Linked DNA regions of Tamandua tetradactyla. The protein of the gene in region 4 purifies or fractionates together with the protein of the main gene of each other region. This does not show direct contact. Links are inferred from orthologs where the notes say so. Each region holds a gene or a part of one and is shown on either strand. Other genes may lie near its edges. The genes, in order: PTGES3, FAM117B, DCAF7 and DYRK1B.

Region 1 (7,339 bases), on a different chromosome or scaffold from region 4:
TACTTCCTACCATATTCAATTGAAAGAACACTGCGACGTATTTACTTACCCATAGTTATCCGAGAACTGCAATACATTTCATGGAAACACAAAATTAAAAGAAAACTTCTCTATTACCTGATTTATTCTGATGTCAGAGATTCTTGCTAATTTACATAGATTTGGCATATCATCACTTTTTATAGTCTTTTTTTTTTATGACTTGAACTACAGGTATATAAACTATAGGGTGATATTGGGGACAGCCCACTTTTAGGTTTCAACATATTTCATTTTTAAAAGTATATGAGCTTTTTAGAGCCTTTTCCTTCCCCTAGGGTTGTCCATGCTTATACCAGCCCACAATCAGAAAGCCTGGTAGCACCAAATCAAAACTTATGTGAAAAAGCTTGACACAAGACACAGTAGTTTTGTTTGGGTGCATAGGCCAGGAATTGAACAAGACACAGTAGTTTTTAACCCTTTCCATTACTACCAAACCAGACTGATAGGTATGCTTCTAAACTCTGGGCAGAGAATCCAGAAGCTATCTGCGATGATTTTATTTAGCTAGGTCATTGTCACATCAGGTTCATTTGTTAACTTGGTCAGGTGGTGGTACCCGATTGTCTGGTCAGGCAAGTGCTGACCTGTCTGTTGCTATGAGGACATTTCATGGACTTAAATCATGATCATGTTGGCTGCATCCACAGCTGATTACATTAGCTAAGGGAGCGTCTTCTGTGATGAGTGACATTTAATTTAATCACCAGAAGGCTTTTAAGGATTCAGAAGAGACACTCTACCTGCTTCAGCCAGGGACCTTCTGCCATGCACTTCGTCCACACCCTTCATCAAGTTGCCAGCTTCACAGCCTGCCCTGCAGACTATGAACTCTTCCATTACCACAGTTGTCCAGCCAACGTCTCCTGAAAGTTCGTTGACGACTGTCATCGTAGTTGCCAGCTTGCAGCTTACCCTACAGACCTTGGATCTTTACATTCCCAAGGTTGCCCAGGCAGCCTCTCCTGAGAGTTCGCTGAGGACCTTCATCAGAGTTGCCAGCTTATAGCCCTACAGACCTTGGATTCTACATTCCCAAGGCTATGTGAAACACTTTTATCAATTTCATATCTACAGATATCTCCTACTGATTCTGTTTCTCTACAGAACCCTAGCTAATACAGTCATGATGTCTCCTTTAAGCTTCATGGCCAATTTCCTTTTTCCTATATCCAAAAGAGATTCTTACCACTTTACCCCTTTCCCCTTTATATGACATATATAGATAACTTCCAAGGTCTTATTAGAAAATTCATACAACTAGACTGTGTTCATTATCTGATTTAATTTTTAAAATGTTTAATTGCTCATGTCAACATACAAAATTCTCTTTTGCTACTAGTGACTCTGGGCACATATTTAAATTCAGTTCTTAGAAAAATATCACAGAGAACTTGCTATGATAATTGACAAAATGTCTCTGCAATCCTTTGGCATATGTATTTTTTTAACTGACCTGACAATTTCTTCTCTTAGGAGACTGTTAGGATTAAATTTATGAGGTGGCATCTACTACTCACCACGTATTTTCTAGTTTCTGTTAATCCAGGTTGCAGATTTATTAAACACCCTGACACTGTAACTATACATGTTTGAATCTACATTTTGCCCCATACTAGAAATAGAACTATTAGTGAATTTGAAAATGAACCTGGTATAACTCAGGTCCCCACCTACTAATGGTTGGGATAACATCTAAGGGCTTGAATAAGCCTAATTACAAAGTATTTGTGAAACTTCTGGTAGAAAAGCTATTTCCAGAAGAACACTAAAATAAAACCCCTTGAAATATGTTTAGTGAGGAATAACTAAGGAAGTAAATAAACTAATGGGGGAGGGGAATAGCTGTAAATGAACCATGAATTAGGATACAAAAAAAAAAAAGGTAGTTTTCCCCGTAGCACTCTCTACCCTGTCTTTTGACAAGGGAAATTGCCAGAAATTTGGGTTGGAGTCTTCTATCTCTAATTCAGTTCTTTCATTTTCAGTTCATCTTATACTTTGTTACCAATTAATCTTTACAAATCTAGGACACAAGAGTGCTGCTCCCCGACTCAAAGAAACTTTAATAGCTTCCAAATGTGAGAGAGACAAGTTGCAATTATCCCGATATTCAGCATCACCATTATTTGGTTCTGACTATCTTCTTAACCATATCCTGAACTATTCCCTTACATTCTCAACTACCTAGGTCAGGGTTCTGCAAATTACAACCTGTACACGAAATCTAACACATTCACCAGATTTTTTATGTGCAGAATCTTAGTCTGTGAGCTAACAATGGTGTTTACATTTTTAATTGGTTGAAAAAAATTAAAATATCTTCTGATGTGAAAATTATAAGAAATTCAAATTTCAGTACCTTTAAATACTTTTATTGGAACATAACCATCCTTGTTTGTTTACATATTGTCTGTTTGTCTCATGCTGTAATAGCAGAGTTCAGAAGGTGCAACAAAAACAGCCAGCATGATTTCATCTGGCCATTTACAGAAAAAGTTTGCTGACCACTGACTTAGAAATACTTCTGTTTCTGTCTCTTCACCAATATTCCTGCCTGAATATACTAATCCGACTTATTCCTGCTGTCACCTCTATGAGGCTGTCAAAATAGAATTTTCAAAAAACTAAAAAACACGATTCTCTCACAAACATATAATTAACATAAACCAAATATCTCACTCACGAATGGAACCAGTAAAATGGCAAATAACATTTGGTTATTCACAGGCATAAAAATGAAAGAATTAGAATAAGATTGCTGGGTCAAACAAACCCGCTTAGTGTCCTTCAGAGCAATAAAACTGTAACTTTGGGATTAGTCTTCCAATAAAAAATCTACAAGTTAGTATGTAACTTCACGATGTCTGAGTTCTAATTATATAATAAATAGCAAAGACAAACATAGGTTCGTTCTCCTGTCTCCTGATAGACAGGTTAAACAATGTCCCAGTGTAAACTGAAAGGCTATCCCTCGGTGCAATGCCTTATTTCCAGGTTCTGGGTAATTTTTCTGAACAAAACCTACCCTCATTCTTCCAGCCCAAATAGACCTCTCCTCCTTTCAAGCTCCCATACTTTTTGTATTTCCATTATGGTATTCAATAATCATTATTTTGTCTTTCGAACAGGCAGCAGGCCCCTGAATCAGAGTAACAGCTGGGATTTAATCGCCCTTTAAAATGAAACTAGATAGGGTTCTATGTCCACAGTTCATGATATCTATCTTGCACAAATATAGACATCAAATATCTTATTGCTGAATATGAAACCCCCAAACACTCCCTCTGGACATCTTACAGCACTTTTCTTAAAACTCCTTTGGGTGCTCAGTAGCGGTGTATCGCTTTTGTTTCCCCCTCATTCTACCGTTTAAGTGTCCTCCTAGTGGGCAGGGCCCATTCTGATCTCTTGGTTAGCCCCCATTAGAGCACAACCCAGTGCCTGGCACAAAGCAGTTGCCCAAGAGATAACGGTTGAAGCAGACTGAAAGCCTCCCACCCCAAATTCACACACACACTGATGTGTCTGAAGTCTCTCCATTCTCTGACACCTGGCTAAACTCTCCCCTCAAACAACCTGTCTGGCCTATTAGTATCTCAAGAATAACCAATCCCCCCTTTCACGTCACAAGCCTCCAGAAAAATCTTCGTCCCTCGGCCTCAGCTTTCCTTCCACTATCCAACACAGCCGTTTCTCAGGGGAAGACGCCCAAGGAACAACGCCGAGTGCCTATAAACCCAACGGTTTTCTACCGGAGCGCGGAACAAGAGGCGGGAAGAAGCCGGCGCAGGCCGGAAAAGGGCGAAGGGCGGCGCCAGCCTCGGGAAAGATCGCGAAGGAGCTGGGAAGCTCCGCCCTTTCCGTAGATATCTCTAGAAAGCCGCGCGGGAGCCCGAAAACAAGGACTGCGCACGCGCGGCGGCAGGGCCCGGGCATTTTGCTGCGTCACCAGCCGCCGCCTGGCCTCACCACCCCTCGTTCTCACGCACGCACGTTCGTTCTCCGTCCTCGCGCCCCTTTTCTTACGCTTTCCTCTTCTCTCCGAGCCGCGGAGCCGCTCTCTCTGCGCGGTGCATTCTGGGGACCCAGGCCGAGCCCGCCGCCTGTGCCGTCGCCTGAGGGAAGCGTGAAGAGGCCACGACCGGGGAGAAAGCGCCGGAGTCGCGGCCGGAGAGGAGTCGACTCCCAGCAACTGCCGCCGGAGAGGCCCGCCCCCTGACCCGTTCACAATGTGAGTGCGCTATCCCATCGTGGGGAAGTCGGCCTTAGGGAGACCGAGGCCGCTCTGGGGACTCCTGGGCTGTGGGGAAACCTTGCCCTCCCCACCCCTCCCCCCGCCTTCGGCGCTCTCCGTTTTCTCTTTTCACTGGTGGCGGTTGTTACTATCTGGTGGTGGGAGGTCTGTGGTCTTGTTCGGTTACCGTTGGTGGACGGAGGACATTTTTCCTCCACATACCCGCTTCCCTCACCTCTAAACTGTCCCTCGTTTTCCCCATGCCGGAAATCCCGCTTTTCCCCCTTTGGTGGTCTGAGTTATGCGTAACCGTTCATAACTCGTCCTAACTTAGCTTTAGGCCTTAGGCCTTAATCTCCTTTGAGCCTTTTGCCATGCGGGCGCCTTGGAGGCATTTGACCCTCGTGGATTGCCACTTCGGTTCTCCGTCAGTCTGGTTCTGCCACTCTGTGTTGGGACCAGGCCCTGGGCCAAGTGCACCTGTGGTGGGTGCCACCAGAAGACTGATGGTGCAAGATCCTAGAGCCTTACGCGGCCCAAGGCCGTGAGCGACAGTTACTGCTAGGCAACGAGAGGGAGGCCATGCCGTCACCACAACTTTTTTTTTTTACCCTCTGAAGTGCCTTGATTTCTTGAGTATAGGTCCTTTCAGGCCTCTAAACTCAAGTATCTTGAAGGAAATGAAGGCTGCTAAAGCTCAGTCGTGTCCTGGCACCGAGGAGTTACCACTGAACAGGTAGTTTTGCACGTGTCGAACCTAGAGATACTTGTGGACATTGTGTTCCATATTAAACTGTAGGTGAGGTATCATTCATCTTAATTTAGAATAAAATAGGTACATAACTGTCTTGTGGTCTTAAGGTGTTCAAATTCTGTTTATGAGGAGGATTCTGTTGCCATCTTTTTCTTTTATGGTAAAGGAAAACTTTGGTGATCTTAACGTAATAAAAGCTCTTGACCTTTCCACCTTAAATCTATGTAAAATAGGTTTTGCTTATCCCTTTGAAATTTCTAAATAATTGTCAATATGGACTGTAGAGTACTAGTAGTGCTAAAGTTAATGTGGACTTTTTTTTTCTATCTTAATTGGATTCAGGGGGATATATTAACTGCTCAAAATGTTTATGTAATTGACAGCTGTAGGCTTTATATTCTTGTTGAAATCGTCCCATTACTCCCTTTTAAGTTTCCCCATTTGATAGTTGTTAGGTAAAGAGATTTTTTCATTTAATACTTTGAAAGTCTCTACTCTGAAAGTAGAAGAAAAAATGAATTGTCAGATAAAGCAGTACCAACTTTTAATGTGTATTAGAGCAATGTAGAGTATTAATATAGGGGAAGTACCATGTTTGAAATAGAAACACTTTTCGGAGGTCACTTTTTGGAGGTTAAAATAGGTAAGAAATGTTAAACTATGTAAAGGGTAAAATTGGGATGCCAAGTGTAGCAATCAGTATTCCAAAAAGCAGTCTGACTATATTTAAAGAATGCTGCCTTTAAAGTGAATTTTCTGTGAAGAAACCAGATAAATCTCATCCTCTTTTAAAATGTTAGACATGTGCTGTCTTGTAAATTCTTCAGGGGATCTTAAGAAAATCTGAGTCATTTATTTGAGTTGGAGAAGACTTTTAATGGATCATTTAGTCCTAGGAAAAATTGGCTGATAAGGGTTCCTCTTGGTGATGTCTATTTAAAACATTGTTTTAATGCTGCTTTTCTGTTGATTTGTTTTTTGTGCTGGATGTCTTGAAGGTTTGGGGTTGTGTTTTTTTCAAGTTTGGAAACTCTGTTAGTGATTTCTTAGTTAAATTTGTCTAGTAGCCTACATAGAAGTTTCCATCTCTCTCCTACCTTGGAGAAGGCTGGGATCTTAAGACCTCCTTACCCATTTAAAACCTCCCCAAAGCTAAACTTGCGCTGTGGTACTTTGCATTCTCTTTTAAATTAGCTATTATAGTTGGTTGCTATTGGATCCTAACAAGAGAAGAAAGTAAAATATTTTATTTAGTTTTATTTGAGGTATTTGAAGGGTCATTCTTTCTGTGCCTTGTTGAAATCATCCCATTAATTTATTATTTAAATTAATAAATTTTTGGAAACATAAAATGACCATCTTGAACATTGATTTAAAATCTTACTTTGCTGTTCCTTAGCTTTGTAGGTTTGAATCTCCAAAGATATCAAACCTCCAAAGCAAATTGTCATAGTGAGCATATGGTTTACCACTAATTTCTATTTAAAATGAGTAATTGGTAAGTTAGGGAAGATGATAGCCTTTGTTCAGTGTTGATTTTCTAACCACTGTAACCTGGCAGCTGAATTTCCTTTTTTTTTATTATGCTCAGTTAGCCTTTAACTAGAAGGCATTAGAAATCACTTGAGTTTAGGCTAGTATTATATTCGAAATTTAGAGTTTCCTATTAAATTATTCTCGGTTTAAAAATTCTGAGGCTATATCATTTTGGGGTCTTATGTGGTTAATGATTGTGCCCTTCAGGGATGGGAGGTGCTTTTTTTATTGAGATATATTTACAAACCATCTGAAGTATACAATTACTGGCTCACAGTATCATCACATAGTTGTGCATACTAGAACATTCTCATTACTTCAGAAAAAAAATAAAAAGAAAACCCAAACCGTCCCATATTCCTTATTCACCCCTATTGATCCTTAGTTTTTGATATAGTATATTTGTTATTGTTGGTGAAAGAATATTAAACCATTACTATTAACTGTAGTCATAGTTTTCAGTAGGTACGTATTTTCCCATAAATCTCCTCTGTTAGCTCTTTATAATAATGTCATACATTTGTTCTAGTCCATGAAAGAATGGTTTTGTATTTGTACAGTTAATCACTGGCGTTGTCCACCACAGGATTCAGTGTGTTAAACATTCCCATGTTTTAACCTCCAGCTTTCCTTCTGGTGACATTTGGGAGATGCTTTTTTAATACCAGTTAGAATCAACTTAGCTCTTAAAAAACTTCAGATCATATTTTATCTGAGTTCTTAAATTGAGAATTGTTGCATCTGGTGTATTTTGCTGTTGAAATGCAGTG
Region 2 (7,973 bases), on a different chromosome or scaffold from region 4:
GAAGTCCTCATAATGAGAGTGTGGGGTATTTGGGAAAATTAAATAAGCTGGAGCCTAGAGAAGAAGAAGTGGCAGGGGTGTGTCTGTGGAAGGTATGATAAGTCATATGGTTTGGACTTTTGTCCTAAGAGAAATGGAAAGCTTGAAGCAGTTAAGTGATAAGGTTTGTGTTTTTAAAAGACAACTAGAGATGTTGGGGGAGTGGGTTACGGGTGTGGAGTGGGGAGTCTGAAGAGGTGGAGTGAGGCAGAGATGATCTTGGGAGACTGGTTGGGTGTTAAGAGAGCAGGCCAGAGATGATAGCAGCTTGGCTAGAGGAGATGATAGGTCTGCAGAGCAGTGATGGATTCACAGGAAATTTAGGAATTAGAGTAGAGAGTAGATAAATTATGGTAATCCAATGGGCTTGGTGTGAGGAGGGAAGAGACAGACTTCCAGGGTTTTGATTTAGACCACCAAGTTGGTGGTGCCATTTACTGAGATGAAGAAAAACTGAAAGAGGAGCCAGATGGTGGTAGTGGGTGGGTGGTGAGAAGACAGTGAATTCAATTGTGGACAAGGTTTGAGGCACCTGTGAGATATACAAGAGACTAAGCAGGCAGTTGTATAGTTGTCAGTGTGATGATCAGTAGAATTTGACACTCATAAATGAAGCTATCAGAATAGGGAGTGAGTGGAGAGAGACAGGCTTCGCTAGGGTCCTGAGGTACTACCACCATTTATGGGTCAGACTGAGAAGAAGCCAGCAAAAGTGACGGAGGAGTAGTTAGAGATGGAATAGGAACATCTGGGAATGTGTGGTGCTATGTAAAGTCTTAAAGAAATGGTTTTATATGAAAGTCTCAGTGAAGTAGCAGTCACATTTTAAATAGAGAACAATATAAATTCTGATAATTTCCCCCTTTTATTAGGAAACCATGTATCAACATTTCTTGGAAAATAACCCCCCAAAATTTTACTTAAAAATGAATATATTCTTTTCATTTCAGTATTTTACCTTCCAATATTTGTTTATAGCTTCTAAGTGTTTTTGCATGTCACTGTTTTAGTTTGCTAAAGCTGCCAGAATCCAACATGCCAGAAATGGATTGGCTTTTAATAAAGGGATTTATATAATTACAAATTTATAGTTCTTCAGAGGAAAGGCAGCTAACTTTCATCTGAGTTTCGATCACATGGGAAGGCACACAGTGATGTCTACTAGCCTTACCAGTTCGTCTGGCTTCTGGGTTCCAATGGCTTTCCCGGGGATGATTCCTTTCTGTATCTCCAAACATCTGGGCTGAGTTGGGAGTGCTTAGTTGAGGTATGCTGAACTGAGCTCTCCTCTGACCTCTTTTAAACCTTCAGCTAATCAAACTAAACCTCACTCATTGTGGAAGGTACTTTCCCCAGCTGACTGCAAATGTAATCAGCCATAGACGAATTTCACACGCTGAGGATTTAGGGCTAGAGAAACAGAACAACAGGGCATCATCACTTGGCCAAGTTTATACCTGAACCTAACTACCAAGTCACATTTATAATAGATACATAATTTTGATTTTTCTTGTTTAAAAGTGAAAGTAATTTATGATTTCATGATTATCATTTTAGCAGTGATATAATGTTCCATGCAGTACTATTTTAGAAATTTTTTGATGGATATGCCTGGTTCTATTAAAACTACAGAAGGAGATTAAAAGCTATAGGAAGGTAAACTTTTTTGCAGAACCTATCATCCTTTTACATAACAATATGATTTTAAAGAGTTAAAAAAGCACATGAGCAAATTAGCCTACCAATAATATTGCCTTTGGGAATTTAAATATAGACAAACCAATTCCAATACATTGCTTCTGGTCTACAACTTCTTCATAGGTCACATTTCAACCTTGGAAAGAAAATGGAAAATTTGCATTATATCCTAAGAAAAGCAGAATTAAATTAGAGGAAGACATTTATTTCGTTGATCCTTGAATTACAAGGACTCTCTTCATAGATAACCTACCAAACTGAAGACTAATTCATCATCTTATTGTACATTATTTGCTTTGAATTTTTAACAACAGTTGAAGTCAAGGGTAAATATTAATGATGCTTTTATACATTGCTATCGGATTTTCAAAAGAGATGAGTTCTAAGATATACAAGTCATTTTTTTAAAGCATTCTTTGATGGTTTCATACTTTCAAAGCTTTTATTTGCAAGTCTTCACAAACATCCTTCAGTAAAAGGGGGGCTGAAATGGTTAATATGTGCTTCAGGTGCAGTGCTCTCATTTGTTTAAAGTTAAGCCCTAACCGACTAGGGAGGTAAGCTGTCAAGATGAAAAAGAGGTATATTTTGGAGATGAACCATTTGAGTTTCTGCAGGAAACATGGCTAAAAGCAAAAGGTGAACTGGCTCCACAAGAACTCATAATTGAGCCAAGCACATTTAACTCTTCACCTCAATGAACTTTTTCTGCTAAAATAAGTTCTTTAGGTTAGAAGACCTAAAAGTCTCTGGATATCAACAAATAAGTCTCTAGTTTGGCAACACCAAAAGCAGTTACGTGAGCTAGGTCACCAGGACTACAAGACTTCCTTCAGTTTAATTCAGTAAATACGTATTGAGATCTTACTTTCTGCAGGGGAAAGTGTAAGATACAGTTTCCATGACACCCTATTTAAAATCTTATCTTTCCTCCTACCCATTGTTTTAAAAGCAGATTTAGCTCTCTGCACGGATCTTGTCCGCAGTTTCCTGCATGTGGTCTGCCAAGTAAGAAGCTTTTTTTTCCTTCATTCTAGCTTGAGGGGAACAGGTAGTCATGTCAGGTGTATTTAGAGCACTAGCCACTTAAGGCAGGTTCCTAGACTAAGGCTTGGGGCTCTCCCTGTGGTGGGGGAGAAGGGAGGATAAAGGGGAATGGCTGGTAAGGAAAGATGTGGGCCTCTGAATCACATCTGAAAGTTTTGAGTACTGTTCCAGTTTGCTAGCTGCTGGAATGCAATATACCAGAAACAGAATGGCTTTAAAAAAGAGGAATTTAATAAGTTGCTAGTTTACAGTTCTAAGGCCAAGAAAATGTCCCAGTTAAAACAAGTCTATAGAAATGTCCAATCTAAGGCATCCAGGGAAAGACACCCTGGTTCAAGAAGGCCGATGAAGTTCAGGGTTTCTCTCTCCAGTGGAAGGGCACATGGCGAACACAGTCAGGGTTCCTCTCTCATCCGGAAGGGCACATGGGAAACACAGTGTCATCTGCTAGCTTCCTCTCCTGGCTTCCTGTTTCTTGAAGCTACCTGGGAGGCATTTTCCTTCTTCATCTCCAAAAGTCGCTGGCTGGTGGACTGTGCTTCTCTTGGCTAGGTTGTTCTGCTCTGCTCTCTCTGAATTGCTCTCATTCTCCAAAATGTTTCCTCTTTTATAGGACTTCAGAAACTAATCAAGACCCACCCAAATGGGTGGAGACACACCTCCATCTAATCTAATTTATCAACCACTCTTGATTAAATCACATCTCCAGGGAGATGATCTAATTACAGTTTCAAACATACAATATTGAATTGGGATTAGAAGAAATGGCTGCCTTTACAAAATGGGATTAGGATTAAAACATGGCTTTTCTAGGGTACATACATCATTTCAAACCAGCACAAGCACCATCTACACACCCTATTTTCATTTGACCCTTCATTAATAATCATAATTGTAAGAAGGAAATGGCATTAATTGCATTCTACAGATAAGGAAACTGGCTCACGATCTGCTCAAGGAGTAGTAAGAAGTGGATATGGGATCTGCATCTCCTTTCTAGGGTTGTAAAGCCTTTCCACCACGGTGCAAAGGGATCCAGAATAATTTTCAAGTCCAGACTGAGTCATATTGTGTTCTCCTCTACCACATTTTTACAAGGTGAAATCTATCTAGAATGTTTATCTAATAAAATATTTAAGGGAAAAGAGGCCCCAGAAAGACAATCTGCAGTTGGGGAAGTGAGTGGGTGAGGTGCAGTCCCATTATTCTTTCTGTCTTAATGAGGAGTTCTTTAGGTCACTTTAGAACTAGTGTTACTGCCTGCCTTTCGGAGTGCTTGCCCATACTACAAAGACCTATTTTCTTGACTAGATAAACACATGGGTGGATGGCCCACTTCTATCTCAGATAATCATTGTGAAGATAAAATAGGACCCTTTGCAGACTATAGCACTTTACATACGTAGCAGACCTCTTTCCAAGATGGCAGGGAACTGACACAGCTGATTAAATTCTTGATTACTTGAGATGTAACAGGGTAGAAATGGCATTTGGTAACTGGACGCCATAGATACAGTCTGAAATCGCATTCTAACCAGTAATTTGAACTCGAGATATGGTTCTTTGTAGGGCAAAAAAAAAAAATAAAAGTTTGTGTGTGTGTGTGTAAAATGCCAGCAATATAAATTAAATTTCATCTTCCTTTGAGCCCTGTCCATACGTTTATGGAATTACTACAGAGCAAATACATCAGGAAAAAAGGCCAGAGATGCGCGTATACGGCCCCTGCCAATTAATACTGTGGTAAAGAAATGAGTTATGCGGCAACGACTTCAGACTATCTATCCCTGGGGACCGCTCAGGTTCTAGACATTCATTTTGGCAACATTCCAGAGTCTGAGTCCCCAGGGCTCCCCCCAGTGGGAAGGGAAAGACGCGCGTGGCAAGGCGCGAGTACGTGTACACTCACATGTACACATACTCACGCGCGCGTACGCTACACTTACACACGGTGTGTGTTCTTCACTCCCCCCCCCCCGGGGGGCGGGCCTCTTTCTCTTTAAAGAGCAGACGGTGTTCAAGCAAACCCGAGCTCTCTAAGGCCCCGAGGGCCCAGGACCCAAGCCGCTGTCAGCCAATAGGCGCGGTCGAGTGGCTCGAGCGCGGCTGACGCTACGCCAATGGGAGGCTGCGGGGGGCGGGGGCAGCGGAGGAGACACTATTGTCGATGAGGAGGAGCGGCGGCGGCTGCTGCTGCACCACCTCGTTGCTGCCGGCCGCGGCTCCGGCACCCCCCGTATCCCCCGCACCCCGGATTCCAGCTTCGTCACCCCGTCGCAGGGGCCTTCCCTTCGGTCCTCATCCTCGAGAATTCTCTCCCCTGCAACACCACTACAACAACTACCTCCCCACCCCCCCCCGTCTCGCCCAGTCACCAGGGAGGGGGGACCATGTCCCAGCGGGTGAGGCGCAATGGGTCCCCCACGCCAGCCGGCTCCCTCGGGAGCGGCGCGGGCTCCACGGCCGGGGGAGCCGGGAGCCGCCTGCAGCCCATGAGGGCGACGGTTCCGTTCCAGCTGAAACAGCAGCAGCAGCAACATGGCAGCCCCACGCGGAACAACGGCGGCGGCAGCGGCGGCAACAACAACGGTGGCTGCTATGGTGGCGCCTCAGGCCCTTCAAGCAGCGGCGGCGGTGGGGGCCCACGCACCGCTTCGCGGAGCACAAGTCCCACGCGCGGTACCGGGAGCGCAGCGGCTCGCACCAGCCCCACGGTGGCCACACAGACGGGCGCATCCGCGACTTCCACACGGGGCACCAGCCCCACGCGCAGCGCCGCACCCGGGGCTCGCGGGAGCCCTCCTCGGCCGCAGCCGCCACCGCCGCCGACGCTACTGGGCACCGTATCGTCGCCTTCCTCGTCGCCCACCCACCTGTGGACCGGTGAGGTGAGCGTGGCCCCACCCCCAGCCCGCGTCCGCCACCGGAGGAAGTCCCCGGAGCAGAGCCGAAGCTCCCCGGAGAGGAGGAGCCCGAGCGCTCCGGTTTGCAAAGCAGGTACGTGCTTGGGGCCGCGCGACGAGGGGGAGCGGTCGGCGGGAAGGGGTCCCGGATGCCCCGGGCTTCCGCGCCGGGACTGCGGCGCTGCCGCTGTGCCCGTACGGCCGGGGGCGGGGCCGGGGGCGGGATGTACGGCCGGGTGGTGCGGCCCCGCCTCCCTCAGGGTCCGCGTGGTGCCAGGTAGCTGTGCGCGGCGGCCCTAGCTCATCGCAGTCGGTTCCGCGCTGCGTCCCCAGCAGTGGAGCTGCTGCCGCGTACCTTGTACTTGGCTGGATATGTGTTAATTATAAACCTGAGATTCTGTCGGTCTTGTCTGCCCTCTGGTTACTGCTTACTCTTCCTTCCTTTTTCTCTACCGCATGTTGGGGGTGGGTTAGGAGTGGCTTGTTTTTTGTTTTGGTTAGTGTTTGTATAGCACATATCTGCTGCTTCGTGTTTCTTTTTCATAAAACGGTTTCACGTATGGAGGGCTGAATGCATTAGTGTGGCAGATTGGGAGCAAGGAACCGAGGTGAGAGAGAGAACGTTTTAGCATTTCTTAAGACTCGGTAAATGCAAGAAGTGAGAAGGAAGTTAAGCAACATTCCTTTGGAAGGTTTGTGGGTTTTGTTTGGGGTTTCGTAGTATATTTGACATATTTATTTTGTGTGCTCAGGATTTAAAACCATTTATCCGAATTTATATTTAAAAAAACATTCCGAAGTTTGTTTCCTTGTGTGATTATTTTTAGGGACCTAAACGTTGTTTTTTTGTACTTTTTGTATGTTTCTCTGTGTGCCTGGGGGTTTTCTTGGGAAAGGTCCAGAATGGAGCTGTTGGGTTCCAATGGAGTTATTCATAAAGAAGAGTATCTCAAAAGAGAATTTAATAGACTGTGGGAGGTGGAAAGGGTTAAAAGTTATCATCTGGTTGCCTTCCTATCAGAATCTAATTAAAAAGAGAGAAATGGGTAGATTTTTAGTTATGATTTAACACACCTTGCCTTTTTCTGTCTTGGAAATTCCTGTTAGAATCTTCCAAGTCGAATGGCTAGGAAGTTCAGGAAACTTAGTACAGTACTTTCTGACTAAATAAATTGGACAAGTTGTTTCAGGAGTTTCAGAAATGGAAGGAGTAGGCCGTCTGTCTTACTATTTTATAAAGATGTTAGACATCAAATCCTTTTTTTTTGTGCTAAGAACTAGCCCTGAGAATGATCAATAGCGTTTTCTAATTAGAATAAGAGATATTGTCTTTAATCTTTTCAGAATGCAAAATATGTTTTTAATTTATGAAAAGCCCTAGAACCTCTCCTCCCCATAATGCTACCTAGCTATTGCTTATTGAGCTCCTACATGGCAGGTGATTTTCATAAAAGATCTCTATCTGGTAATAGCCTTTAGAGAGGTGAAGTAACAAGTGACAGAGTTGAGATTTGAATTCTATTCTGTGGTACTCCGAAGACCAACTATTTTACATTACATAAAAGGGGGGAGAGTTTTATGCTATATAGGATTGACTCTGGGAATTGTATTGTACACCAGAACTACATGTGCTTAGTTTTTTTTTTTTTTTTTTTACATGGGCAGGCACCGGGAATTGAACCCAGGTCCTTGGGCATGGCAGGCAAGCACTCTTACCTGCTGAGCCACCGTGGTCCACCCTGTGCTTAGTTTTTTATGTTGGTTTTTTTTTAAGGGAATTTTTTTTTATTGTGAAAAATAACATATATACAAAAAAGTAATAAATTTCAAAGCACCCCACAGTGGTTAGTTGAGGAACAGATTTCAGAATTCGGTGTGGATTATAATTCCACAATTTTAGATTTTTACTTCTAGCTGCTCCAAGACACTGGAGACTGAAAGAAATATCAGTCTAATGATTCAGCAGTCATACTCATTTGTTAAGTCCCATCCTCTCTGTTAAAACTCCACCTTCTCCTTTGATCTTTCTCCCAATCTTTAGGGGTATTTGGGCTATGCCCATTCTAACTTTTTCGTGTAGGAAAGGGCTATTATTAATACGGGATAGGGGGATGGAACTAGTTGATGTTTGGGAGGCTGGCCCCTGTGGGTTTCAAGACTTTACTAGCTTAGAAACCCATCTGGAGGTTGTAGGTTTCTGGAAAGTAATCACAGTACATGGAACCTTTGTAGATCTCAGATAAAGCCCTAGGTGTTCTTTAGAGTTGGCAGGAATGGTTTTAGTTG
Region 3 (7,085 bases), on a different chromosome or scaffold from region 4:
GGGTGCCTTGCAGGCCAGGGCATGGAGTGGTTACAGAGGGTGGGCCCGGAAACGGGCTGGGCATGGGTGCTCCCTTCTGTGACTTAGGGACTTCACTGAGTGCCTGGCTGACAACTGTGCCAGCCTTGCTTTTTTAGGATGGTGAGCCCTATTTAGCTACAGTTCTCCCCATTCTCTGAGTGTCCCAAAGCACAATGCCAAAGACATCATTATGAGGACTGAAGAAGGATGTATGCGTGGCGCCTCGTCATTATTATTATGGGAATCAGGGAGGTGCTTAGGGGTATTGGGGCAGGGGCTTCGGATCCTAGTGGGGAAAGGGTTTTAGTTACCATGCTACACAAAACTGAGATCTGTCCTCAGGACCTGAACTGCTCTCACCAACCCTGACCCTGACTATGGGGTTCTGTCTGGCAGGCTGGAGTTCCAGATGACCTCAGACCTTAGGCGCATCCTACAGCTCCTTCAGCAGCCCCCGCCCCAGGGCCGCACCCACTCCATCCAGGGAGCCCCTGCCTCCATTGACCTGCCATTGTTTCCTGTGACCTCAGCAGCTCAGAGTCCCTGGCCCAGGCAACCCTAGGACGGCCTGCCGCCTGCACAGGTGAGCAGGTGAGGGGATATCTAGGAGCTTGCCTGGAGCTGTTGCATGCCGCCTCCCCCAGCATGGCTTCAGACCCAGGGCCTCGGTGACCCAGAGCAGCTGTGGCTTCTACTGTCCTCTTTGGTTTGAGTCATGACAGGGCAGTGTGGAAGGGTGGTGGCAAAGCCCAGATTGTGACCTCCTGGCTGGGACAAGGGTGGCAGGTGCCTGAGGTTAGGAGGAGCAAGCATAGTTTCTGCCAATTCCCACCCCTGAAGTCAGGGTGGATGAACCTGTAGCCTGGCCTGGGGGCTGCCCCTCTGCATGCCTCCAATCATTTCTTGCCCCTCCTAGACCTCAAGCTGTAGAGACTTGGACAAATGTCCACTGAAGAGCAGGAATTGCTCCTCCAGGATGCATCATCTGCTTGTGGCAGTGGGCAAAGCTCTGGCACCATCCTCGAAACAGGAGAAGCCTGAGGGGCTCCTGTCACCTCTGGCCTCACCTCTGTGTCCCCCAGGGGTTCAGGGGCCCATCTGTGGTCCTCGCTTCCCCTCCCTCCCTGAATCCCTTGGCTCTGTCCCTAAGCAGCTGGCGTTCCAGAGATATGGCTCAGATCCTGGATTTGCAGGAAGTTAGAGCCCCTGAATTCCAAGATAAAAGACATTCTGAAAGGATGAAAGTGGGTGGGGTGAGTGTCAAGGATCCTAGGGGAGGCAGACAGCCCCAAAATGCTGTCTGAAATGGGCCTCTGAAAATCATTCTCCCGGAGTAACTTCAAACTGCTAACTTGCGTGACCCAGGTGGCGTGGGTGAAAAGACTTGGGATTTTTCCAGCCACCCCCAGGGTTCTGTTTAAACAGCACACCTGGTGGAGGAGTGGGTGCCTCTGGTATGGAGTAGCTTAGAGGACTAAGGAGTCAAGGAAGTAAAGAGAAGTTTCTGTTTTCTATGGGATCACTTCTTGGCTCAGACCCAGCCCGACCTCATGGCCCAGGACCCAGCACCCATGGTTGAGGGTCAGTCAGACCTCCTGCTGAAAGCCTTTGACTTGGCTGAAGATGATGGCCTCCTCTTTGGTTGACCTGCCAAGGCACAGAGCTCCAGTCCACCCCTGACAGTTCTGTGATAACCTTGGGGCCCATGTAGGTAGTAGAGTGTCGCAAAGTAAGCAGCAAACACAAGTCTGTATATTTCATGTTGGCTCAGGTGTATAATCAGGTCCTCAATAGCTGTGGTCTTCTCCAAGCCCTTCTCACATGCAGGTGGGAGCTTGTCCTTCACATCCACTGTTGGAAACCTGAAAGGTGGCTCCTCTGGACCCAGGAGCCCCCAGAGCATGGGCTCTTAGCCAGGCCAGGGAGAAGGGAAGCAGGGAGGTGCTGACTTGGTGGCTGTCAGGAATCATGCCAACTGCCATACACACACATAGCCGTCATCCTGTGCTGGCAGCACGCTGCCCACTTTGAAGACTGTTCATCTAAACTTCACAACAACCCTATGGGGTTGGTATTATTACCTCTATTTTAGACATGTGGAATCAAAAGCAGAGTAAGACTAAGAAACTTACCCAAGCATGGTGGGAACTCCCAGGGGGCTGGTCGTGTTCTGTTTCCTGATCTGGATGCTGGTTACATTCTGTTTATGTTGTGAACAAATGTGCACTTCTATGTGTAAATTCTAATTTGGTTAAAAAAAAAAAAAAAGACAAAAAAATTTTTTTTAAGTAAAAAGAATCTTGCCCAACACAGTAGGAGGATATAATTTCAAACCAGTCTCTGGCTTGAGAACCTGTGCAGTTAAGCACTGCACTGAAATAGGCTCTTCTGTCATTTTTGCTCAAGTACCCCCTAAAGGAAATTTGAACATTTGTATCCCTCCCTAATGCATTTTTAAATTGACAGCTGAACTATTTCACTGATAAGTTTAAATCGTTGCAAAAGATGTGATTCCCACTGTCTTGTAAATATTGACACTTTATAAAATTGTTTTGTCCCTTATTTATACTGACTCGTGATCCAGATAGCATAGTGATTTGAAAGCCATCGTTATCCACAAGAACAAGCCCTTCTTTAACATTCCTTTTTCTCTTTTTACTCATAATTCCACTACTTTCCCTGTTTTACTCTACATGCATTTCATGTTCATGTTTCAAAGACTATTATTAATCACCCTACAACATCTGTTTGCAGCACAAACAGGAGTATAAATTGAACGTTTAAAATTAATTTTTTGAAACGTTGCTAAAGCTTTAGGAGTTACATTTATTCTTAGTATAAAGTTGTTCAAAACAAGATAAATATATATTCACATTTTAATAAAAACTAAAAATTTTGAAATGCATTCCTTAAAGAGATTGAAAGGGAATTTCCCCCCCAATTAGGTCATATATCTGTGGATGAATATCATTACTTTTTATTAGAATAGGGTAAGCCTCAGCAACAGTTTTGTTGGTATTTTTCTTTCTTTTTTCCCTAAACTTCAGTGCAGAAAAAAACTTTTTCACATAAATAAGTGGCTAGGACTAGAAGGGGGTTGTTACAGCACTGTTACTCAATTCTTTTAATTTTTTCCGAGTTGTATAATAATCACATTTATCATTAAAAATGGTATTTAATGATATGATCTAACAAGTCAATGCAATCTTCCTTCATTTTTGTTGAAAGCAAAGAATTGGAAACCATTTAAATTATAAAAAGATGTTACCCAGATTTTCATTTTCTCCATTTCAAAGTCACGGCACTGATACATTTCGGGCTCGGTTAGCATTTGCCTCGGGATCCCGTGGGGGGAAAAGATGGGATGGGATGGGATGGGACGGTACCCGAAATGAACCTGGAGCCAAGCTGGTCGTGCAGCTGTCTACTGAAGACCAACGAGAAATCCGAGCATATCTGGAATCGCAGGAGAGCGCGGGAAGGTCTGCAACAGGCGGGTCCGAGGCCCGTCCTATGGGCATGGGAGAATAGCTGTCCGGGTTAAAAGGGGCGTTGGAAGCATGCGAAGCGGGGGTGAGGGAGTGTTCCCGTTCCGTGCGGGTCAGGTTGCCAAGCCGCCGGGCTCAGTGCCGCGAATGCAACAGGCAGAGTTTAAATTTTACTCGACAGCGTGGAAAGGCCGCTTAGAGTAACTGCAACAGCGGGTAGGTCACAGCAGGTCACACAAGAAGTTTCACGCTCAAAGACTTGGCCTAGAACTTGGAGGGCCGCCTGCCTGACAGGCTTGCCTCTCTACCCCACGCCCCATTCACCCGCACTGCGCTGTTATCCCTCTGATTGACATCTTTGTCAGCCAATGACCTTTGTGGCTAACAAAGCGCCTGCCCCCAGGAATTAGGCGGGACGAGAAGTTGGAATGGCACGCATTTACGCCAATAGAAAGGAGGCTTCAAAAGCTACGGTCATAATAACCAATGAAACGAAGGAATGGTTCGAAAGGACGTGTCAGGCAGCCAAAGGCCGGAGCCGTTGTGGTGGTCCCGTGGCTTCCGTTCGGAGGGGGCGGGGCCGCGTCCCAAACGGAAGGTGGTTGTTGTCGGTACCCTAGCAGGTTTGAAAGTGGGGGTCGGGCCCGGCTGCCTTTTCTCTCGTTGCGCCCCCGCCCCGCCTCCCTTCGGACCCTTAAGTCCCAGGCCCGGCTCCCAGCCCTTCTTACTCCTCGCCGGCTGCGGTTAGCTGCCGACCCGGCCCTCACTGCGGCCCTGCCGCCGCCACCATGTCCCTACACGGCAAACGGAAGGAGATCTACAAGTATGAAGCGCCCTGGACCGTCTACGCCATGAACTGGAGCGTGCGGCCCGACAAGCGCTTTCGCCTGGCGCTGGGCAGTTTCGTGGAGGAATACAACAACAAGGTGGGCCGGGCAGGGCTCGGAACCCAGCTGGCGGGGAGCGGGCCCCGGGAGCGCCCTTACGGAACTGGAGCCCAGACCCCAGAATCCCCCTGCGGACTGGCCTTAGCGCCATGGAGCCGTTCCTACGTATCTGGCCCTGTGCTGAGGGTTTCTCTTTTTTTTTTAATTGTGGCAGCACTCGTGTAATCGGAAGTGTCGTTATCCCCATATGACTGATGGGGAAACCGAGGCACAGTGTTGTGACTCGTCAGGCCAGACAGCTGTTTCGTGACGGAAGCAGGTCTCAAACCTGAGTTTACACGAGCTACGCCATTTATCCCTCCCCTCCCCTCCCCTCCCCTCCCCACCGCTCCCCTCCCCTCTCCACCCCTCCCCTCCTGCCGCAGTGCTTCAGTTGGGGGGCGGGGGAGGGAACAGGGAGTGATGGCTGTGAGGGAAATGCCAGCGCTTCGGTTGGTGGTCGTTCTTTCCTGGCCACACTAGATTTCCCTTTAGGGCTTAGGGCTGTTTTTTGCACAGGCTGCCTCACCTCCACCCCCAGGTACTGTTGATGATTCCCAGCCCTTCTGCCGCTAGTGCCATCGGTATTGCCGCCTGATAACCGTCCACTCTAAAGTGATCTCTTTTTGAAAGTATTGGCGCATGGCAACGGACCTTCCGTTGTTTCCTAAGGAAGGATGATGCTTTTTATAATGTTATTTTGGCTCCTTTCATGCGAATACAGATGTGTAACCTTGAGTAGTCTTTTTGGATATCCACCAATTTGAGAAGCCTTCATAGAAGCTTTGGTAGGAGAGGAAGCTTTTACGTTGGCAGTGAAGCATGCATTTAGTTTTGAAAGTTGTTGACTAAGTCGGGGGGGAACTATTCTTTCCTTTACCCCTTGATCTCCTTTTATTATATTTGAGTAAATGTTGTGATTGATAGTGATCAAGAACAACCGAAAGCTTTGACTGGTGATGTTTAAAGCCAATACTCCCGTTTAAACCATGATAACAGACTTAGGAAGAATAAAATTGGACAGTGAAAAGCATGGTGCAGGGAATAAAAAGCCAGATGGTCTAAGGTTGAATCCTGTCGGTACATTGCCCAGCTGGGGGTATTGCACAGTTGAGTTCTATTTTGACCCACAGTGTGCTGTAGGAAAGGGGTTCCTTATTACATGTCAAAAGCCTGTAAAAAGTATTTGAGAATATTGTTTCTTTTGTTTTTCAGGAATATTGTTTCTTTTGTTTTTCAGGATCACGAGTTACTCTAGAGTATGTCTTAATTTTTTTTTTGTAGTACCCTTTGAGAAATTGATTAAAGCAATGGACTTGCATTGCCTACATTGCATGTAAAAACAATTTACGGACAAACCCTAGGAAGTATGCACTGATGTTCAAGTCCACCCATTGCCCACAGACAACAGAGTCCTGCGCAAGACATAGCTTTATCTTCTTTTCTCTGATGCCGTTTATTCCTTATGGCTGATCCATAGTGGACAACAGAGGTTGAAATGGATTTTGGGACCCTGATGTGGAAACCGTGTTAGTAAAATTAAGGCCAGTAGAACTACTGTTTAAGGACGCATGTTGGAAAAAAAAAAAGTAAAATATGTTTTTCAAAGGTCTGGAGTCTTCTCAAACAAGACTTTTCTTACTCTTTGCACATTTTTTCCAGGGTCGGTCTGATAAAAATAGTAGTCCCATTTCTAAGATAGGGGAAACTGAGGCACAGGCTGTCATGGAATCTGTGGAGCAGTTAGTGTCAAACCTCAGTGGCAGAAACTCTGTCCCAAGTTTGTCCTTTCCTTCAGAAACCGTATGGTTCTCCTCCTTTGTACTGAGCACACACGATAGTGAAATGCAAACTAATAATTCTAGTAGTAACAGATTAAATGAATACTTGCGTCTTAATTTGCTTGCATGATGTAGTCAGTGCAGAATCTTAAAACTATTTTCATGTCTCCACCTCTCCATAGGTTATGGCTTTTAACTTTAGTATGTGTGCTATGTACACCTTTGGCAGTCTGCAGTCTATAGATCCTTTCTCAAAAATTTTTTTTTCAAATCCATAAATTTATAGGAGTACCCAAAAAAATAGTTATATTTAACTACAGTTACCAAAACATTTTTTTAAAGTGGTGATGTAGTAATATGTACTACATCAGGTCATTTAACAATAACTAGTATAATTATAACTGTAATTTTGAAATAGCAAAGAGGGTAAACAGCATTTCAAGATAGGCTTAAAACTAATGTGAAGTGAAAAAAATCAGTGACTTCTATTGGTGACAAAGTCACAGATACTGCTAATGCTGTATCTCCCTCCATCCCTTATTGAAGGAAATGCTAAATTTCAGCTGAAGGTTAGTGAAAATGGGAATATGTTTCCAATTGAAGTTCGTGGACATCAGGGGGAACCCCTAGAGGGTGGTAGGCAGTAAATCCCACTTTAAAGCAGTGGTTCAGATACTAAGTTTTTGAGAACCCTTTCCACAAAAGTGGAAGACTTCATAATTTAGAGTAATTAAAAAGTTATTGGTTAGAATTTTCAGATCTTTGGTTCCTGCTTACCACAGATAGTGACTGCTAGCAGAAGACAAAATCAGTGGACACCTCGCAGATTAATATTGATGAAAAAGCTCAGAAATGGCTTTTTTTTTTTT
Region 4 (7,708 bases):
AGGGATATGGGCTGTTGGAGAAGAGCCCAGCACTTATTTCCCCATCTCTCCCGGCCTAGGAAGGAGATGACAAAATTGAGTACCGTGCATGGAACCCCTTCCGCTCAAAACTGGCAGCAGCAATCCTGGGCGGCGTAGACCAGATCCACATTAGGCCGGGGGCCAAGGTGCTCTACCTTGGGGCTGCTTCGGGGACCACTGTCTCCCACGTCTCTGACATTGTAGGACCGGTGAGTGGGGGTGGGGGTGAGAATCTGTGACAAAATGTAAGAGTGGTGGTGAGGTGAGTGGGAAAGAAAAGATGCCTTCCTTTGCCAGCCTCGAGTCAGAGTCCTGTCTGCTTCCATTCACTGTGGCACAGAACCGGGCTCTGCCTTCTAGAAGGGGATAGGAGGCCCCTCCAAAGCTCGCTTCTGGGTTTCTGGACCTGAGGGAAAGGGGCATAGGCATTAGAGGGGCCCAGAGCTAGGAGTATCGGTATCAGACTATTTGAATTGGTTGCCCTTGTTAAAAATTCATGTCCCCAAAATCCAGGCTTCTGGTTTATCTTGAAAGAACAGGAGATCTCAGAGTTTCTGGGCCTGCATTTCAATTTATACCATCTGTAGAGGGAGGCTGTACATCTCCCTTTGTGACCCCTTTCTCGTTTATGTGATTGCTGGCTGTGTAATTTAGTAGTTACAGACCCTAGGCTCTGATGCCAGGCTCTTTGGATTCAAATCCCAGCTTAGCCATTTAACAGTGATGTCGTTTTGGACAGATTATTTATCTCTCCGGGGCTCACTTTACCCCCTGGAAAACAGACTTGTGAAAATTAGACAAGTTAATTTCTACACAGTGTTTCTGAACAGTACCTGGCATGTGGCAAATGCTTGTTAGCTGTTGTGCTTCATCATTCTGTGCCTTGGCTTCCTGTTTTTAAGCCTTTATTGAGAGCCTGGGCTCTCAGATTAGGTAACTTGGTGTTTGGAAGGCTCACTTGCTTGCTGAATAATCCTTGGTTGATAATTTCACATCCCAGGACCTCAGTTTATTAATCTATGAAGTAGACTTGATAACAATGGCTGTTAAATGATAGGATTTTGATTTGGAGGTTGGAAGAAATGCTGCATGCAGAGCGTAGGCCCATTAGTAAGTAGTGGCTCCATATGAGCACTGATACCATCACTGTTATTACTTGCCTTGTTTTAGGATGGTCTGGTCTATGCAGTTGAGTTCTCCCACCGTTCTGGCCGTGACCTCATTAACCTGGCCAAGAAGAGGACCAATATAATTCCTGTCATTGAAGATGCTCGGCACCCACACAAATACCGCATGCTCATTGGTGAGGGGCCCTGGGCGTCGGCCCAGGTAGGGTGGGATAGGCCACTCCTAGAAACAGGTTTCCTGGAAGAGCCTATCTAAGCCCTGAATCGGACTGAATTGGAATGAATGAGCAGTCCCTCAGAGTCTGTAGGAGTGAGAAGGGATGGGGGAATCAGTTGAGATTATGGAGGTGGGGGCCCCATTCCATGGTCTCAGGTGTCTGGCACCCTTGAAGAGCCAGCCTCCTCTCTTTTGAAATCTTTCCTTAGACCCCTGTGCTTCTAGCCTCCCCCCCAAAACACAGTACTTTCTACACTGCTCCTGACTTGTGTGTAGAACCCCCTCCAAGATGCTGTTCATTATCTGATGATCCTAGCCCAGGAGGCACAAACTGAGCTGGCTCTGACCCTCAGGGGGCCATTGTAGATATTTTAATGCCTGTATTTTTTTTTGTTCTCTAATTGGAAATGTAACATATGATTTTGTTTTGTAAAAAATCAAAAGCATGATGTAAAAATGGAAAGCCTTTTAAACATCCCCAGAGGTAATTGACGTAAACAATTTGATGGCTACTTGTTGTGAATTTTAAAAAGTCAGTTTTCATCATACCACCCCATGCCCGCCCCGCATGAGCAGACACCGGGAATCAAACCTGGTTCTCTGGCATGGCAGGCGAAAACTCTGCCTGCTGATCCACTGTTGTACCGCCCTACACCATCTTTTCAATTGTTAAAGTTTCCTTCCTCCCCTACCCCCACTCCTTACTCACACTGGCTTTAAACATTACTTTGTCATTCCACTTGTTTTTCTTTCTGAGTTTTTTTCCCGTATTCTCATATATATTTGTCCTGCGACTTGTTTTCATTTGACAACCCCGAAGACGTTCTTGCCTATTAGTGCTCACCTTTAGTTGCCTTTTTGATGACCTGGTTGTCTCCCCCGCCAGGCCTGGGAGCATCTTGAGGGCAGGGTCCGGGTTTGACTTGTCTCTGTGTCACCAGGGCTGGCCACAGAGTAGGTGGCAACCATGTTGGGGATGCTGTGGAGGAATGGGGGATCAGTGGGGGAAGTTGGATTGGAGGCAGGGAAACTGCCAAGCATCTGCTCATGATGGGGCACAAGCCCAAGGGGGGGAGCTGGGAAGATCTCTGGTGGGCTCGACTTCTAAACGCCACCCCTCTCTCCCTAGCAATGGTGGATGTGATCTTTGCTGACGTTGCCCAGCCAGACCAGACCCGGATCGTGGCCCTGAATGCCCACACTTTCTTGCGTAATGGAGGACACTTTGTGATTTCCATTAAGGTGGGGGACTTGATGGTGTGTAAGATGGGATGGGACTGTCCCAGGATGGCTTCTTCTCTGTCAGGGTGTGACAGCCAGCCAGGTGAAACAAGGGGGTCACCATCTTCCTTACTCCAGTCAGTCTACTCCCAGCCTCTGTCCCTACTCCAGCCCCCTACCATTTGTTCTCCAACTCCATTCATATAACACGTGATACCAAAATGTCAGCAAAACTAAAAGCTTTGGATTTAGAGATTAATATGTGGTGGTCAAATGCATGGTCACTGATCCTGACTGAATCTTAAATCCCAGTTTGCTCTGTGAGTTTGAGCAAGTTACTTAACCTCTGTGTACCTCAGTTTCTTCATTTGTAGAATGGAAATATTAGTTCTATCTCTAGGGTATACGTGAAGAATTAACATATGTGAAGTGTTCAGAACATTCTGGCATAAAATTAAATATAAGATAAATATTAGATGCATTTTTTAAACTTTGAAATACAGAGAACTTAGTCCTGTATGCTCTTCACCCAGATTGACTATTTGCCAGCCTTTTGCTACATTTGCTTTGTTATTCTTAGCTGGCTTATTACTATTACAATTTAGTAAAGAAAAAGAGGAAGAAGAAAAAACAGACAAACTCTGTTTTATATGTAAAATTTAGGGGCTGTGATTAAAGCTTCCTAGTTCAAATCCAAACGAAACTGAAAGCTTTTTTAATGAAGCATTTCCCCACATTTCTGAAACCCTGCCATAGAAGAGACAGTAATGATTGTTGTTGGCCTCTTCAGCCTGAGGGTCACTTACTTTCCAAAGAAAACAAATACTTCTGGTTTAAAGAGCACAAAAAAAGGGAAACCAGAAGTCAAAGCCTTGCTGCGGACTTAAAATCTCTCCTTCTATAGGCCAACTGCATTGACTCTACAGCCTCCGCCGAGGCCGTATTTGCCTCTGAAGTGAAAAAGATGCAACAGGAGAACATGAAGCCCCAAGAGCAGTTGACCTTAGAGCCTTACGAAAGAGACCATGCTGTGGTTGTGGGTGTGTACAGGTGAGCAGGCAGCCAGTAATCTACCAGGATAGATGTCTGTCCCTTAAACTCAGAGCTGTGTGGGTCAGTTCTTGTTGGGAATGCCCATGGTCTTGGAGATTCCCCTCATCTCCTCTCTTCCTCTCACAGGCCACCTCCTAAAGTGAAGAACTGAGTGAAGTTCACCGCTGTCAGGATTGCGAGAGATTGTGTGGTTGCTGTTGCACGTGTGTTTTTCTATTAAAAGACTCTTCTGTCACCGTTGTCTGCAGCTGATTGCTCTGCCACCGCTGTTGTCCACCTGGCGCATGCGCCCTTGGTGCTCTTGAGTGGGGGTGGAAAGTCTCATCTTGTTACATGGCGCATGCTCTGTTTTCAGCGGTCTCCTGCGCAGCCGTAATCCGGTTTTCGGCGCCTAGGCGGGGTTAGTGACTCGCTGCGCATGATTGGTAGTAGTGCCCACTAAACGCAGGCGCGGATTGCTTCCTTGGGTCACGTGAAGGGGCGGGGGTGGGGAGGCGGGGTGAGGGCGGAGTCCGGGGCGAGGGCGGAGTCTGGGGCGGGGTGGAGGGGTTGGTTTGTTGTGGTCGCCATTTTGCTGGTTGCATTACTGGGTAATCGTGGCTCTGGCTTGCTGCGTCCGCCGGATACCTTCCGCCCGTGGGCAGGTCAGAGCTCGGGCCTCCCGAGCAGTTTGAGTCCCCTTGCCTGCGCTCTCAGGTAACGAAACGAAGATGAGTGGGGTGGCATGCGCTCGCAGGGAGTGGAGGGGAGGGCGGAATTCGCCCTGGCCGCGTCGCAGCGAGAATGAGCACAAGGCCCCGGCATGGGGGTGAGGAGGGCGGGCAGGTGCAGGCCCAGCCTGGCTATTCATAGTCGGATTCCTGGAAGGGGCCAAGCCCGAGGGAGCGATCTTGGGAGGAAAGTTGGGAGGGGGTAGCCAGGCCTGGCTCCCGCCCTTTGTTTGGGCTTGGCTCCGCCGGCCGCATCGTCGTTGCCTAGCAACAGCCATCTTGGACTATGATTGGCCGAGTTCTTGGCAGCGACGACCAATTGCACGGTTGTTGCCATGGCAGGGTGCGGACTGCCAAGCTCAGTCGGGCCCCGCCCGCCGGTTCTCCGCAGGCCGGGGCGGGCCTCCAGGGTGGGGGGCGGGACGCCTGGGTCCCCAGAGGCGGGGGGCCAGTGGTGCGAGAGTTAGCTCGCCCCTCCCCCGTCCACCTGCTTGCCCTTCCCCCGCGTGCCCCGGGTTGACCCTCGTTCCCTGCTCTCCCCGCCCCCGGCGGTGGCGGTGGCGGTGGCTGCTGTTTTCACCCACCGGGCCGTCTGTCCCGCTTGCCCTCCCCGCCGCGGGGCTTGCCGGGCCGGCCGGGCTGGGGACAGACGGCCGCCTCCTCGCTGCCGCCACTGCCGCCATGCTGGCCGCTCACCCGCCCCACTGGGGGCCCCACCGCGCCCCAGCCCCCAGTGGGCTCCGCGCCAGCCCTGACCCGGGTATGGGGTGGGGGCTGAGAGAGACGGTCCTGTTGTGGGAGGGCCCTGGGTTATAGGTTGTTTTGGGGGTGAGGGGCGATCTTCCAGGGAGTGGAACTCCAAGAGTGGTGGGGCCTGGAGTGGCAAAACCTTGCTTAGGAGCAAAGAATCTGACATAGGGGGGTTGTGTGGGTGCGGGTGGAAGCCCTTGGGAGAGGGACTTTAGTGTGGTTCAGTGTTCTGAGAGAGAGAACCCTATGTGATATTTGAGGAATTTGGCTATGTGGGCCTCCTAAGAATGGGCGCGGCTGTGTAGTGACCCTGATAAAGGGGAGCTGTGGGGGAAATGTTGGGTAGTGGACGTAGGATCCAATGTAGAGGAAATAAGAAGGAAGATCACTGTAAGCCATGGGAAGAGGCTCCCCCCCCCTTGGTTCCATCAGAAATGGGCTTTGGAAGGGGAACATTGGAGTACCATGAGAAATACTGCAGATATGGCATGGGGGAATGGGGCTTTGGTTGGGAGACTACCTAGAGGGTGGTCTCTGAGGAAGGAGGACCCGATAAAGGGAAGAAATCCTGGCATGATAAATTGGGAGAACAGTGGGAGGCGGGTCCCGTAGGAAGGGTGTGCCCTGGTTAATGAGGTTGCCATAGAATAGGACTCTGGTCTGTAGGGGATCTCAGATAATCTTGGGGTGGCTGGGTGGTCCTCAGAGGAACCTGATGTGGTTTAGGGGTCCTATAGAAGACCCTGCTATGGCTTGGGGGAGGTTCCAGAGAGCTCTTGTTTCTAGGGTTCTCTGCATTTGGGGATGTGTTGGGAAGGGTAGGCCTTGAAGTAGAGGGGTCTTGGTGATAGAGGATGAGATCCTGATGTTCAGGAAGACTGCAGGAGGGTGGGATCTTAGGTGAGGGGTCCTGGGGAGAGCCACGAGTAGAAATGGGAAGAAAAGAATGAACCCTACTTCCCATGCTGCCTGTGGTTTCTATCATTTTCTTCTCTTTCCTCCCTCCAATTATTGGTGTCTTTCTGTCCTCCTTTCCTGTCATGACCCAAATCCCCTGCTCTTGCCTGCCTCTTTCTTCATCCCCTTTCATGCATCCCTGTCTTTATTCCGCCTCATTCATTTTTTTAATGATCATTTGTCGAGGTACTTTGCTTTGCCCCCCCACCTGGCTTGCCACTTCTCTTCCCTCTTTTTATTGCCACCTGTTGCACCCTTTTCCACCTCCTTCTGTGCCCCTGCTTTCTCTGTCATATCCATTTGTTCCCTGCTTGGCACTGTCCCACATATCCCCCTGTTCCATGTTGTTCCCCCGCCTCCCTGCCTGCTCTCAGGTCTCAGCGGCGGTGGCAGCCGAGGTGCAGGATGCGAGAAGGCGCCCCCCGGCCGGGCTCCCGCTCCAGGCCTCACTCCCTTGTGGCCCTCTGAGCCCACCATGGCCGTCCCACCAGGCCATGGTCCCTTCTCTGGCTTTCCAGGGCCCCAGGAGCACACGCAGGTATGCGTTCACCCAGCTCCTCATCTGCCTGGGGTCAAGGGAGGCTGGGAATAGAAGGGTTTCAGGGCCAAGAGATGGAATGTGGCTGCCCCAGACAGTATCCAGGGGTGTGAAGGGCCCCTGAGTTGTAGAAGATAACAGAAAAGGTGCTGGCAGTCAGGGTTTGGAGAGCCTGGGTTCAAATCCTGGCATGGTGATTAAATTACTAAGTTCTCTATGCTTCCGTTTTCTTATCTGTGAAATGGAGCCAATATCAAAACCTACCTCACAGAGTTGTTGTGAGGATTAAAGAAGTTAATGAAATGCATGTAAAATGCCGAGAATAGTGCCTGGTACCTAGGAAACACCTAATAATGCTTACTAAGAAAACGTTAGAGTGAAGGATCTGGAGGGAGTGGATGGAGAGGAGGGTTGAGACCTAAGGGTCTTGGGACCAACAGGGCCTGAGTGGTATAGGGTAAAGCACTCCAATGGTAGAGATGGTGGAGGTTCTAACATGTAGATCTTGAAACAGGATGGAATGGGAGGTCCAGGGTATAGGATCCAGGTTCTCAAGACCTTTCAAATGAAAGAACAGGGCAAAGATGCTTGGGGCAAGGGAGGGGGGAGCGAGGTGAGAAGCAACACCCTAAGGGATAAGGGTAAAGTGAGATGGGGGTGCATAGAGGTGGGACACCCAGAATGGAGTGGGGGCTAGGGCAGGGCTGTCTCTCCTGCTAAAAGGTTAGGAAGGTTTCCCCTATGATCTCTCCCACTGAAGTTCAGAAAGGAGTGAAGGTGTGGGTCAGAATGCTGGCTAAAGGCCCAGGGGGAAAGAGTTCCCTTATTTAGTCAACACCCATTGCTTCTGTTGAACATCCGCTACATACTAGACCCTGCTCAAGGCCCTGGAGACATAGTAAGAACAAGACAGACCTTGTAGAGTTCATTTCTAATTGGGTAGACAGAATGACCATATAAATAGGTGATTGCGTGGGGTAATAATGAGCCAGATGTCCATATGATTCTCCCCCTTGAGGTCAGACATGATGGGTCTTGCCTGTCCTCAGTGAGGCACCCCCGCCCTGCCCAGCAGGTATTGCCTGATGTGCGGCTACTGCCGCGGAGGCTGCCC

What was found.
Region 1: the proteins of DYRK1B (region 4) and PTGES3 purify together in Homo sapiens (affinity purification with mass spectrometry; 3 studies listed by BioGRID and IntAct, with this or other methods). This does not show direct contact. The link is inferred for Tamandua tetradactyla from reciprocal best matches to the Homo sapiens genes DYRK1B and PTGES3.
Region 2: the proteins of DYRK1B (region 4) and FAM117B purify together in Homo sapiens (affinity purification with mass spectrometry; 3 studies listed by BioGRID and IntAct, counting the BioPlex papers as one, with this or other methods). This does not show direct contact. The link is inferred for Tamandua tetradactyla from reciprocal best matches to the Homo sapiens genes DYRK1B and FAM117B.
Region 3: the proteins of DYRK1B (region 4) and DCAF7 purify together in Homo sapiens (affinity purification with mass spectrometry; 10 studies listed by BioGRID and IntAct, counting the BioPlex papers as one, with this or other methods). This does not show direct contact. The link is inferred for Tamandua tetradactyla from reciprocal best matches to the Homo sapiens genes DYRK1B and DCAF7.

The regions. Positions count from the first base shown.
Region 1 is NC_135333.1:123,760,006-123,767,344, reverse strand, and holds the start of PTGES3 (prostaglandin E synthase 3), read left to right. Parts: upstream 1-4,322; 5' UTR 4,323-4,959; coding exon 4,960-5,015; intron 5,016-7,339. UniProt on the Homo sapiens protein: Cytosolic prostaglandin synthase that catalyzes the oxidoreduction of prostaglandin endoperoxide H2 (PGH2) to prostaglandin E2 (PGE2).
Region 2 is NC_135329.1:177,411,493-177,419,465, forward strand, and holds the start of FAM117B (protein FAM117B), read left to right. Parts: upstream 1-4,958; 5' UTR 4,959-5,174; coding exon 5,175-5,781; intron 5,782-7,973.
Region 3 is NC_135332.1:4,679,030-4,686,114, forward strand, and holds the start of DCAF7 (DDB1- and CUL4-associated factor 7), read left to right. Parts: upstream 1-4,075; 5' UTR 4,076-4,297; coding exon 4,298-4,435; intron 4,436-7,085. UniProt on the Homo sapiens protein: Involved in craniofacial development. Acts upstream of the EDN1 pathway and is required for formation of the upper jaw equivalent, the palatoquadrate. The activity required for EDN1 pathway function differs between the first and second arches.
Region 4 is NC_135342.1:24,182,161-24,189,868, forward strand, and holds the start of DYRK1B (dual specificity tyrosine-phosphorylation-regulated kinase 1B), read left to right. Parts: upstream 1-4,699; 5' UTR 4,700-5,030; coding exon 5,031-5,109; intron 5,110-6,430; coding exon 6,431-6,594; intron 6,595-7,666; coding exon 7,667-7,708. Other genes in the region: FBL (rRNA 2'-O-methyltransferase fibrillarin), read left to right, coding at 60-230, 1,192-1,324, 2,495-2,607, 3,491-3,636, 3,766-3,790.